Macaca mulatta: one gene and its partners. The protein of the gene in region 2 binds, or shares a complex with, the protein of the main gene of each other region. Links are inferred from orthologs where the notes say so. Each region holds a gene or a part of one and is shown on either strand. Other genes may lie near its edges.

The links.
Region 1: the proteins of RAD1 (region 2) and HUS1 are in contact, whole or in part, in a crystal structure (PDB 8GNN), measured with the Homo sapiens proteins. The link is inferred for Macaca mulatta from reciprocal best matches to the Homo sapiens genes RAD1 and HUS1. Residues at the interface, in NP_002844.1 of Homo sapiens: Asn85, Val88, Asp91, Cys92, Ser94, Ile95, Phe96, Gly97, Ser98, Gly127, Val128, Val129, Thr130, Val131, Cys132, Lys133, Ile134, Asn135, Gln137; in NP_004498.1 of Homo sapiens: Thr165, Ser168, Val169, Lys172, Met173, Asn175, Ile176, Glu197, Leu198, Val199, Cys200, Val201, Thr202, Thr203, His204, Phe205, Lys206.
Region 3: the proteins of RAD1 (region 2) and RHNO1 are in contact, whole or in part, in a crystal structure (PDB 6J8Y), measured with the Homo sapiens proteins. The link is inferred for Macaca mulatta from reciprocal best matches to the Homo sapiens genes RAD1 and RHNO1. Residues at the interface, in NP_002844.1 of Homo sapiens: Asn47, Gly48, Ile49, Lys50, Phe64, Ile65, Gln66, Ser149, Lys155, Ile157, Glu211, Ala212, Lys240, Val241, Ser242, Arg244, Gln254, Tyr255, Met256, Phe266, Glu268; in NP_001239428.1 of Homo sapiens: Ser55, Trp56, Val57, Ser58, Pro59, Asp60, Phe61, Asp62, Thr63.

Annotation. Positions count from the first base shown.
Region 1 is NC_133408.1:80,603,475-80,607,753, reverse strand, and holds the start of HUS1 (checkpoint protein HUS1), read right to left. Parts: upstream 2,885-4,279; 5' UTR 2,848-2,884; coding exon 2,796-2,847; intron 2,131-2,795; coding exon 2,003-2,130; intron 1,911-2,002; coding exon 1,734-1,910; intron 142-1,733; coding exon 34-141; intron 1-33. UniProt on the Homo sapiens protein: Component of the 9-1-1 cell-cycle checkpoint response complex that plays a major role in DNA repair. The 9-1-1 complex is recruited to DNA lesion upon damage by the RAD17-replication factor C (RFC) clamp loader complex.
Region 2 is NC_133411.1:35,974,003-35,978,309, forward strand, and holds the start of RAD1 (cell cycle checkpoint protein RAD1), read right to left. Parts: upstream 2,922-4,307; 5' UTR 2,818-2,921; intron 2,375-2,817; 5' UTR 2,295-2,374; coding exon 2,097-2,294; intron 966-2,096; coding exon 857-965; intron 1-856. UniProt on the Homo sapiens protein: Component of the 9-1-1 cell-cycle checkpoint response complex that plays a major role in DNA repair. The 9-1-1 complex is recruited to DNA lesion upon damage by the RAD17-replication factor C (RFC) clamp loader complex.
Region 3 is NC_133416.1:3,773,145-3,777,230, reverse strand, and holds the start of RHNO1 (RAD9, HUS1, RAD1-interacting nuclear orphan protein 1), read right to left. Parts: upstream 2,911-4,086; 5' UTR 2,776-2,910; intron 2,376-2,775; exon of another isoform or gene 2,012-2,375; intron 1-2,011. UniProt on the Homo sapiens protein: Involved in microhomology-mediated end-joining (MMEJ) DNA repair by promoting recruitment of polymerase theta (POLQ) to DNA damage sites during mitosis.

The DNA of each region.
Region 1 (4,279 bases), on a different chromosome or scaffold from region 2:
GGGGTGTACAACAGGATTGCAGGCATCACCTACATCAGGATCTGGGACCACCGGTTCTTGCAAGTCCTTCCACAATTTCCTAGGAATCACCTTTATAGGGATGTCATGTGTCACAATGCGGCTACTGCTTGACATAGATAACTGCCAAGAAAAGAATTAATTTAAAAATATTTTTATGTTGTTAATATTAAGCAACAACAAAACCACCCAAAGACCCGAGGACAAAAAAGTTGAAATGCCAAATCTAAGTGGAATGCTGTCAATTTATTCACTGAAAAGCCATTCGACCAATATTGATGGTGCCAATATTTACGGAACAGACTCTGGGTACTTTCAGGAACTGGGAAGTGTGGTAAATAAGACAAAAAGGTCCTCAATATTCCAGTGGAACAAACAGATCAATAAAAATGCAAACAAATGAAATTGCATGACATGCTCATTAGAGTCGTGAGAAAGCAAACCACAGTGACCAGAGTGAGTGTGGGGGAGTTTCCTTAGACTGACGAGGTGACATTTCAGATACCACCAAAAGCAGCAGCCGTGGGAAGACAGGAACAAGGGGACAGGGCTTCAGGCTGGGGAAACAGCACATGTAAAGCCATGAGGCAGAAAGAAGCAAGCCTGCTATGTTGATGCAACCAAGAGAAGGCCACTCTTTGGGCATAGGACACTCAGGGGGCTGCAGTTTCTAAACAGTTAAAAGGCAAACTATATTTACTTCTAGGGGCTTCTATGAGACTCGCAGAACAAAATATCTTGCACTTTTGGACATAAAATATTATACGTTACTATCTTGCTTTTCCTTAATAGGAAAAACATAACAAACTTATGTTGTGACATGAAATACCCTAATTAGCTCTAAGAACTGCCTGACTGCAGAGTCGAGAGTTATGAAGAAAAGTTGGGTCGGGCGCGGTGGTTCATGCCTATAATCGCAGCACTTTGGGAGGCCTTTGAGAGGACGAGGTAGGTGGATCACTTGAGGTCAGGAGTTCAAGACCAGCCTGGCCAACATGGTGAAACCCCAACTCTACTAAAAAAATACAAAAATTAGCCGGGTGTGGTGGTGGGCGCCTGTAATCCCAGCTGCTTGGGAGGCTGAGGCATGAAAATCACTTGAACCTGGGAGGCGGAGGTTGCAGTGAGCCGAGATCGCACCACTGCACTCCAGCCTGGGTGACAAGAGAGAGACTCAGTCTCGGAAAAAAAAAGGAAATACGAACCTCATTCCATGAGTAACAAGAGCAACTCTGGGTTGTATGTGTGCGCATGAGGTTGTGTATTTGTGTGTTTGGAGGACAGCTGTGCACTAAATTCATCTGGCAGTAGCATATAAAACATATGTGTACTGAACAATGAGGGGCCATTTAAAGGTTATCAGAGCAGATGAGGCAGGGTAGGAGTGGGGAGAAAATGTGTCAACGGTGAAAATGCATAGAAACCATGATTTCTAGACAAGGTGACAATACCACTACAAGAAATAGAGAGGCTGGAAGTTTTATGGCTTGGAAAAAGCAGCAGTCTAGCCGAATGCATAGGATAACAACACTATTTTAAAATGAGGAGGAACTGACTCTAATGCAAAATATAGTTATGGACCAGCTCTTTAAATTTAAATAAACCAAATAGCTTTCAACAATATTTATTGCTAAAGAGGCTAGGCTAACTATGTCTATTCCTTCGAAGCCAAGACTTCTGTGGGAAATTTCTGAAACCCTGACTCTCCTACTCACCAGCTCCACGGAGACTGTGAGGCAGGGAAAGTGTTTATTAGTCAGTTTGATTTTCAAGGCTCTGGCATTCTGGGCAGTTTTCAAGGCTCGAGATAAGTTTTCCGATGTTAGCTCTAAATAAATCTCATTGTTTTCTGCAGAGACACCCTCCATTTGAAATTCGTTGAAGAAGTTCTCCTAAGGGAAAAACATGGGGGATGAGGCAGGGCACTTGTGGTCTTTCCAGAGACAATCTGCAGATTGCAGGCCTCTCAGAAGTTTTTGCTCACCTGTTCCAGCTCACACCACATGCTCACTCCTCCATTAGCCAGCTTGTCACAAAGGATGAAGTTAAGCTTATCAGGGCTGATGCGGAGGGTGCAGGTTTTGGCAAGCTTGGCTATCATGTTACTGATTCCTAAAGCAGGGGTTAAAATAAGGAATCACTAAAACGCACATCATGTATCCTAGAGACCAACTTATTTTACAGAATTTCTTGTTCATCATGGTGCAACTTCTCGGTGGAAAAATAACCACTTACATTGGTATCACACTGGAAAGTATGATGTCACGCAATTCTCCCAACAAACCCGGGGAGATGTACAGCATACATCATCAGTGCTCAAATAAAAAAACAGGCACCTACTAGTCATTCATTCATTTAACACGAACTTATTGACTACTGGGTACCGCAGTACAGAGTTCAATGCAAGGTTAGGCACTGTCAGGGTGGAGGGACGAATGGGGCCTTGAAGGAATGTCAATGCCTGATAAAGCCGTCTGTGGGAGCAGTGGCCGCTTGCTTTTAAAGCCGCGTGATCGGAATCAAGTTTCAGAAACGTCCCTTGAAAGCCGTCTTCACCCCAAGTGCCCTACGATCCGACCCGCGCACTCCCGGCCCATCATCCCGCGGCCTCCACCAGCACCCCTATGCCTGCCCCATCCTCCCGCGGCCCCTCCCGCGGCTCATCTCGCTGCCCCTTCCACCGCCCATCCCCGCTCTGATCTTCCTCCGCGGTCCCCACCGCGCGCTCACTGCTTCCTTCCGTTCCTCCCTCGCTCCCCTCCGGCCTCCCTGCTCACGTGTGAAGTGGTTCAGACAGGCCCCGTCCACGATCTTAGCCCGAAACCTCATGGCCGCGCCTGCCGCAGCCGCGACGGCTTCTGTGGGTAACAGATAAGTGTCGCGCCCTGAGTGTCCCGGCCCGGAAACACGGCGGCGCGCACAGTGGTTCCGCCCGGCTCGGGCTACCCGGCTCTTGCCAGGATTGCCTCCGGGCCACGCCCCTGGGGTGGTGGGGCCAGGGGTCACGCCCCAGAGAAGGTGGGGTCACGGGTCAAGGATCACAGGTCACGCCCCGAGGAGGTGGGGTCCCAGTCTCCGGGTATGCCTCGGCGCTCCGGGGTAATGTGGGATCTGCTTTTAGTGAGGCGGTGGCTTCAAGCCCCAGATTTGGGGAGGTGGTTCTGAGAATTCACGTTTTGAAAGAATTTTGTGACACCTACTCCAAGTGCTATTTAAAAATATCCAAATAAAATTAGTCGTTTATAAAGGTTAAACAATATTATCTTAAATATACCTCTCTAAGGTAGAGCAGCTTTAAACCCTCTAGCCTCCGATGACGGTACCGGTACTTTGGTATTGAAGCATCTTGGTTGATTAAGGTTCTGAAAACTGTTTTAAATGACTTTTTAAAAAATTTAACATATTACTGGCTAGTTGGTAAAGACGGGATGCTTAAAGAACACTGACGTTAAGTGGTAATTCTGCAGTTTGCCTCAAGATGAACTTTATTACATCCGATAAAATTCTTATTAGCATAAATAATGTCATTAGGTTTTTTTAAAAGGAAAGAAATTTTAAAGGGGGAAATGAAGCAACAATTGTATCTAATTTGGTTTTTCAAAGACTAAAGATTATCTATGTTAATTGTTATTTTTAATGCCCTCTGCAAATAGGAGCCTAGACCGTTGTCTTTAACTTGACATATAGAATCAAGACAATGCAGATGATGATGATGATGATGATGATTTTGAGACGGAGTCTGGCTCTGTTACCCAGGCTGGAGTGCAATGGCGTGATCTCCGACCTCTGCAACCTCCACTTCCTGGGTTCAAGGGATTCTCCTGCCTCAGCTTCCCGAGTAGTTGGGATTACAGGCACAAGCTACCAGGCAAGGTTAATTTTTTTTTTTTTTAGACGGAGTCTCCCTCTATTGCCCAGGCTGGAGTGCAGTGGTGCGATCTCGGCTATAATCCCAAAGTGCTGGGATTATGGGCATGAGCCACTGTGCCAGGCCTAGATTATTTTTAAAGACACATGCACACGTTATGTTTATTGTGGCACTATTCACAATAGCAAAGACTTGGAACCATCCCAAATGTCCATCAATAACAGACTGGATAAAGACAAGTTGGACATATACACCATGGAATACTATACAGCCATATAAAAGGATGAGTTCATGCCCTTTGCAGGGACATGGATGAGGTTGGAAACCATCATTCTCAGCAAAATATCACAAGGACAGAAAACCAAACATTGCATGTTCTCACTCATACGTGGG
Region 2 (4,307 bases):
CCTTACAGTTTTATACCTACAGCAATTGAATTTCACCATTCTTAAAAATAATTCCCTTAACAAATAAAAAGATATACATTCTAAAGAAAATCATTTGGCAGCCGGGCACGGTGGCTTGTGCCTGTAATCCCAGCACTTCAGGAGTCTGAGGCGGGCAGATCACCTGAGGTCTGGAGTTTGAGACCAGCCTGGCTAACATGGTGAAATCTCATCTCTACTAAAAATACAAAAAAGTAGCCGGGCATGGTGGCACGTGCCTGTAATCCCAGCTACTTGGGAGGCTGAGGCAGGAGAAGCGCTTGAACCTGGGAGGCAGAGGTTGCAGTGAGCCGAGATTCTGCCATTGTACTCCAGCTTGGGCAACAAGTGAGAAACTCCGTCTCAAAAACACCAAAAAATCATTTATCAAAATAGACATAACTTATAAAATATAGCTTAAAAGAAACAAATTTTGAACACAGTAAACTAGGAGTCAGGAGAACTGGCTTTCGTTTTTCTCTGCCACTAACTAGCTGAGTAATTCTGGACAAGTTAGGGAAGAGAAGCAATTAAAACATTTCACAATGTTAAAGATATTAAAGACATGTCCAAAGTATTCTTTTGGCCAGTTCAAATTTAAAATCCCTCAAAGCCCTGTAAATTAAAAAAAGATGAATGTAAATACTTTTACAAATATGAAAGAACTATAAACATACTTGCAATTAACATTGTGAAATGTTAGAACCCATGACTGTGGCCACCGAAAAATGAATTGGCATTAGCTTTCTGAACAAATGTTTATATTCCAAATAACTTCCTGTATTTTTCTGACCACTGTATATAACACTTTTATGTCTTTATACTGATAATAGTTTACCTGGCATAGGACTTGATCCAAAAATAGACAAACAGTCTAAAAGGACAGTTAAATTAATTCGAAAAGTAACAGACTCTTCCTGAACTTTAAATTCCTGAAATATTCCAGCCTACGGAAAAAGTAAAAATGAAAATTGTTATGTAAAAGAATGAAAATATACAAGGTCCTAGATTTCACTTTATATGTTTAAAAAATACAATACTGTGCTAATCCCATGAGAATAATTTCTGATTAGCAATCAAAACATCTTAGAGACATCCTTTGAAGCATCCTTATATCCATTCCTGGATCTAAAACTATCCCTCTGGGACTCTCCCTTATCTCGTTTTTGTGCGTATCACTACTGCTAAGGTCACTTGGAAAACAGACGGATGACTTGATAATGCATGAGCAATATTAGTTACAACTTTTATTATTATTTTTTATTGATTCGGGGGTCTCACTACGGTTACTCAGGCTGGTCTTTAATGCCTGAGTTCAAGCGATCTTCGTGCCTCAGCCTCAGTCTCCTGAGCAGCTGGAAATACAGGTGTGAGCCACTATACCATGTTGCCGCACGAGGACGAGAACCATGTCTTATTTACCTCTCTATCCCTGAGGTCATGCTGTGCACTTACGTGTTAAAAAAAATGCTTAGTTGAATTTGCAATCCTATCTGAACCATACAAATATTACTTTGGAAGAACAAAAATTCTATTACAACCAGTAAAGGGAAAAAATACTCTTTAGTAACAGCAAGGTGGTAGTATCGCAGTGGTAAAAAGAGCAGATATTCTGGAAACAAATGTTCAGGGTTCTTATCCCAATTCAGCCACTTACCAGCTGTGGGACTGTTGGCAAATCACTTAAAATTGTGCCTCGTTTCCACATATATAAAACGGGAATAACAATAGAACCTGTCTTATAGGACTATTGTTAAAATTAAATAAGTTAAACACTAAGAAGACTGTAGCCTAGCCGATAGTCTAGTTTAATAAACTTTAGTCATTACTAACCATTATCTCTGTAAAACAAGATGGGAAAAGAATTTGTTACCGGGAGAGAAAAAAAAAATTCAAGTAATGACGTTTGTTCTCTAACGTAAGACTATTAAGTTATTTATCTATTATTTATTATGACTATTGACTATTAAGTTATTATGAGTATTAAGTTATTTATTATGTCTACTAAAACCTTCGGATTTCATTAAATTGCATTTAGAATATCTATGGCACAGGCTTAAAGGCGCCTACTTCCATACCTGAATAAAAGCATTTGCTTGCACACACTTTGCATTTTCCACTGTTACTTTGATACCATTTTTAGTTGCGAAACACGTGGCATGCTCTCGGAAATGAATAGCTTTCAAAATAGTGGAGAGATTCCTAACGTTGTCAAGGCTGGCCACAAGGCTGTACTGATCATCCTCATCTTGGATCTGCTGGGTCAGAAGGGGCATAGTCCACTGCGCATTCGGCCCGGAGGGAAATGCTCCTGGGGCCAACACCTGCTCCGCGAATCGCGAAACACCTGAAGGGACTGGACAATAAAACTCACATCAGTGCAGGCGAGGTCTGGCGAGCTCCACCTGCGCTGAGAGGTGGACGGGGGCTGGGCGGCTGAACTCAGCTGACCAGGCCGAACCCCACCTATGTCACTTAATTGTCTTTGTAATTTTGCGGGAAAATTAAGTTACTATTTCCTCGTCTCTGTAAGAGGACAATAACGTGAAAAGTTGTGAAGAATGAAGACACGCAACTGACACGGTATCTCCGCTTGGGGCCAGCTTCTCCCGGCCAAACAAACAGGAGCTATGAATCCGACCGCGGCACCAGCCTCGCTTCCAACAGAACAGGCGATGGAGGGGAGCGCCCAGAGTGTCCAGAAGATCCCCCAAGAGTCCCACACAAGCCCATTCACCAGCCCGCCCGCGGGACAGCATCGCTTATTAGTCTCGGGGTCCCCGAGTGCGGACACCCTACCTTTGCGGTGGGGTCTGGACGCCCGAGAGACCTTCCCAGGAAAGTCCCTGAGGAGGAGCTAGACAGCTCTGAGAAATCGCGTAGGAAGTGGAGCCGGTCCCGCCACTCTTCAGACCTGCCCTCCACTTCCGCCACCGTCACCACAGAGCTGAAGGAGGCCTAGAGAGCCGCGCGTGCAGCGCCACTGAGACCGGAAGGAGACACCGCAGACCTGGAGGACAACCGCGTAGCTGAGCGCTTAGAGCCACCGAACCATAGAGATCGGAAAGAGGAGCGAGAGGCAACGCCGGAAAACAGGCCAAGAGCGCAGGCAGTAAGGCAAGATGGCGGCAACCAAGAGGAAACGGCGTGGAGGCTTGGCAGTGCAGGCGAAGAAGCCAAAAAGAAACGAAAAAGATGCCGCGCCGCCAACTAAGCGGCACACCACCGCAGAGGAGGTGGAGGAAGAAGAGAGGGACCGGATCCCAGGCCCCGTTTGCAAGGTAGAAGGGGATGCCCCCGGGCTACACCGGCGGCGGCGGCTCTGTGCGCCTTTTCTTGGGTTACTTACTTGACTACAGCTCTGCTAATTTCAGAGTAGCCAGAGTGTTAACGGTAGGTCGATTTTAGCAATCCTCCCAGCCAGACTGGGCACCGAGTTTTCAGCTAATCCTTGTGCACGTGTCCGCCCTCCTGGAGGCGGCGGGTTTTAAAATCTTTACCCGGCCCACGGGAAAGCGACTTACAGGGTGCTCAGATCTAGCGTTTTGTCTTCGTAGTTGTTGAGTTGTTTTGTTTTGTTTTGTTTTTTAAATATTTTTGAAAAGTAGGGCTTTTCCTTGGCTATTTCTCGCTGTTGAGTATTTCTTCCAGTGATTAGTATGCCCATATACTGCCATAGTCAGCCACTCTCAGTCAGGGATCCTACAGTTTGTTAGGTGAGCCTTTAAAAAGTTGTTGCCCTTAGGACTGTGACTCTGATTTGTTAACCAGTTTTCAACTCAAGGGATAATGAAAAATAGGCTAGGTACTATGAGCTTTACTTGTATTCAACAGACATTGAATGTGCCATGCATTTGACCAAGTTAGGCATCCTTTGGGTTTGAGATTGCAAAGGTGACTAGCATGTGACCCCTTCCTCCTGAAATGTTGGAGTTTAGGAGGAAACTTAAGAATTCAAATAAGTTGATGGTTTTTATTCAAAAGAAGTGCACGTTAGTTGGAATTAGCTAGATTTCCTTCAACTGAGAACTCATCTTAAGCTAGACAGAATACTGTGAAGGCAAGGATTATCTTTGACATTAATTTCTGCGTCCTCCGCACTTAGCAGAGTAGTCTAGCACGCAGTAGGTGTTAAGTCAATGACCCCGTGTGGTGTGATGGCAAGCTCTAGGAAAGGAGTGTGAGCTCTGAGGAATAAAAGATAAGTGTAAATTCTAGCCCCGCTCTTTTCTGCGCTCTTTTCTGACCTGCAGATTGGGGCCGGGGAGGGGGGAGAGAATATTTACTTT
Region 3 (4,086 bases), on a different chromosome or scaffold from region 2:
TGTAGTAAAAAAACAAAAACTGAATTCACGATCATTCCCTTGACAACCCCACCCCCACCTCTTGGCCAAAGTGATTATCTTCCAGGGCGCTTGGTCAGGGAATGGTGTCATTATTCCTTCAGCTATGCAGCCAAAAATCTTGACACTTCTATTTCCCATCCAACCCACCATCAAGCCCTGTCAACTTTACCTCTTAAACATGTTTTCGTAATGCCCCTTTTTCACGCTGTCTCCTTCTTTTTCTTCTCTCTCTCCCCGCCACCATTTTTCAAGCTCCAGCAGTTCTTGCCTGGAGTACTGCAATATCCAACTGTTCTGCCCTAATCCACTCTAGCAAACCCCGCTATAGACTGACCTTTTAAAATGCAGATCTGACCTGGGTTCACTTCTGCTTAAAGCTTATGATTGGCTTCCTTTAATTCTTGGATAAGCACAAAACTTCTCTGTATGGCTAAGGCCCCGCTTCCCCTGGCTCCAGCTTCAACTCACACCACACTCCATTCAGGTCAATTAGCTCAAACTCTTCAGATATTCCTTAGCCTTTGTACTCACTGTGCTTCCTCCTGCCATCCAGCCTTTGCACGCCTGATTCCCTCTGCTTAGCGCGGCTCCCTCCTTTCTTTGTAAAAGGCATCAGATCTCACACCAAGCTCTCATTAGAAAAGCCTTTCCTGTCCTACCTCTCAAGATCTTATTGTAAATACTCAAAGTATCATTAACCTCTCATGTTTCACTTTACAGCAATAATGCCACATTTGTTTGTTCGTTTTGAAGACGGTGTCTTCCTCTGTCACCCAGGCTGGAGTGCAGTGGTGTGATCACGGCTCACCATAGCCTCCACCCCTCGGCCTCAGGTCATCCTTCCACCTCAGCCTCCAGAGTAGCTGAGACTACAGGCATGCACCACCACGCGCGGCTAATTTTTAGTAGAGAAGTGGTTTCGCTATGTTGGCCAGGCTGGTCTCGAACTCGTGACCTCAAATGATCCACCCACCTCGGCCTCCTAAAGTGCTGGGATTACAGGCGTAAGCCACTATGCCCAGCCCACATTTGTTTATTTGATTCTTTTATTTTATTTTATTTTATTTTATTTTTTTAGAGACAGAGTCTCACTTTGTTGCCCAGGCTGGAGAGTGCAGCGGTGCAGTCTTGGCTCACTGCAACCTCCGCCTCCCAGGTTCCAGCAATTCTCCTGCCTCAGCCTCCCAAGTAACTGGGACTACAGGCATGTGCCGCCATGCCCGGCTAATTTTTTTTGTTATTAGTAGTAGAGATGGGGTTTCACCATGTTCGCCAGGTTGGTCTCGAACTCCTGACCTCAGGTGATCCGCCCGCCTCGGCCTCCCAGAGTGCTGGGATTACAGGCGTGAGCCACCGCGCCGGGACTATTTGATTCTTTTAAAATATCAGTGCCCCTCTTCCCCGATTGGACTGTGAGCCCGGGGGAAGGAAAGAACCTTGTCTGCCATTGTATCTTCAGGACCTGGCGGGACCTGGCACAGAGCAGGTGCTCAACTAGACTGGTTGACTAAGTAAATAAAGAAAGCACCACCGTCTACCATAGCCGAAGGCTTGGCTTTGGGAGGGGCCAAAGACAGGTCAGTACTTGAAGATTTCGCGCAGAGGTAGGGTTCGTGGGGCCGACATTTTTTTCAAGATGGAAGAAAGCTGAGATAATACACAGCCCTCAAAGAACCCTCAGTCTAATCGGGGGGAGCAGACGATCGTTCACTGTACGAAAACGGGGTACGATTTTCCCCAGGAAGGAAATCACCCGAAGCCGACCTTGGAAGAGGGGAGCAGAGCAGCCCGAGGGGAAGCGGGGGCGTGTCGCCCGGCGTGACTATGGCGGCAGGGAAAGCGGACCCAGGGACCCGGGCCTGTCGCGCCGCTTCCGCACGTCCCCAGACTGTCCCTCCGCTCGCCCACCCACGCGGCGGGGACCCCTCCGGCCCCTCCCAGGCCCCACGGCCACTTCTTCCCCCGCAAGCCGGCCCGCGGCCCGCCTTACCAGCCGGGGCCGGACTGGGCCGCAGCTCCTGTCAGACCGCACAGCCTTCGAGCCCGGAACGCCGAGACAAGGCCGGCGCCGATTGGCGACGTTCCGTCACGTGACCTTAACGCTCCGCCGGCGCCAATTTCAAACAGCGGAACAAACTGAAAGCTCCGGTGCCAGACCCCACCCCCGGCCCCGGCCCGGGACCCCCTCCCCTCCCGGGATCCCCCGGGGTTCCCACCCGGCCCGCACCGCCGGGGACCCGGCCGGTCCGGCGCGAGCCCCCGTCCGGGGGCCCTGGCTCGGCCCGCAGGTTGGAGGAGCCCGGAGCCCGCCTTCGGAGCCACGGCCCAACGGCGGCGGCGACTGCAGTCTGGAGGTGAGCGGGATACAGGAATGGAGTCCCGGGCCTGGCCTGGGCACAGGCGGGGAGCGAGGCCTCCGGGCGCGGAGGTCAGGGCGTCTGGCAGCAGGGCACGGGCCACGAGTGGAGGTTTGGGCCACACGGGAAGAATCTGAGCCCGGGTGCAAATGTTTTCTGCATCCAACCTCCTGGCCGGGGCCGTCTCATTACTTAAAGCGCCCCTTGGCCTTCCCTGGAAGTCTGACCTCTGCACGCTGCCCACGGCCTCGGGAGGGCTGGGGTGGCCTTTCTTAGGCCGGCTGCGGCTGAGATGAACACTGAGCACAATTGTACTACGTTGAGTCAAAGACCAACCTGCACACATACTCCCCTGCTCCCAGGCTCTCACCACTAGGCAGCACTGCCTCCGTCTTACCCATTTGCAGGGCCCTTCTCCTGGGTCCTGAGAATGTAGCAAGATTTCCCCGCTCAGGATGGAGATGGCTCAGAGGACCACTCTGGAAGTTTCCCGGGGAAGAAAGTGTTGGCAATAATAATATCAGGCTGGTCAGGAAGTAGAAGAAAAAATTAAGACCTAGATATCCTGTGGAAAAATAGGAATAATATCTACTGATCGATGCGGGGAGAGAGGGAAGCCTGGAAAGATCTGAAGTGAAAGTAAAACTGAGATTTGGAGGTAGAGGTGTGGCGGGCCTGTGAACTCTGCAGATGACAAATGTCAAAAAATTACAGTTGCTTTTCAGGGAGAGAATAAGTGTCCTAAAAAAGAGACAGCCAATTCCTCTGTCTCCCAAAGTTCCATGAAATAGAATTATACAATTTTGCTTAATGGTAGAGTATTCCATGTATCTATTAAAATCAACAAAAGGCTGGGTGCAGTGGCTCACGCCTGTAATCCCAGCACTTTGGGTGGCCGAGGCGGGTGGATCATCTGAGGAGTTCAAGACCAGCCTGGTAAACATGGTGAAACCCTGTTTCTACTAAAAATAAATAAATAGATAAAAATTAGCCCGGCGTGGTGGTGGCGCCTGTAATTGCAGCTACTCGGGAGGCTGAGGCAGAAGAATCGCTTCAACCCCGGAGGCAGAGGTTGCAGTGAGTTGAGATCGCGCCATTGCTCTTGCCTGGGTGACAAGAGCGAAACTTCCTCTCAAAAAAAAAAAAAAAAAAAAAAAAAAAATCAACAAAAGACTTAAAAAGAAAAAAAAAGACTATGCTGTTAGCATTTCAGAACCACCTTAGTGTATTGATGATAGCTCATTCTGGTAGTAAGGAGACAGGGGTTATAGTCTTATTTCTGGAAAAGAAATTAATAAAGTGGCATGCTTAGAAAGTTAAAATATGTATAACCACATGCAAGTACTAAAATGCCACTGTATAAATACAGTACGAATTGTAAAAGAACACATTCTTTTTAAATTATAGCAAGTATAATAGCCTGTGAAATAAATGTCACCCTCTAAAGTTGTTCATTGAACAAGCTGCACAGCTTTACATGGGCCTTCAATAGAGGTTTCCATTTTATGTGAGGTTTTGTAAACTGGGAGATGATTTTTCCAGTAGTGTGGCAATAGTACAATCTGCCTTTCTTCCCTGATTCTGTGTGCACTGGTCCTATTTACAAAGTAACATAAAAGTTAAAAGGCTTGGCCAGGTGACTTGCGGTGACTCATGCCTGTAATCCCAGCACTTTGGGAGGCCAAGCCAGGTGGATCACCTGAGTTCA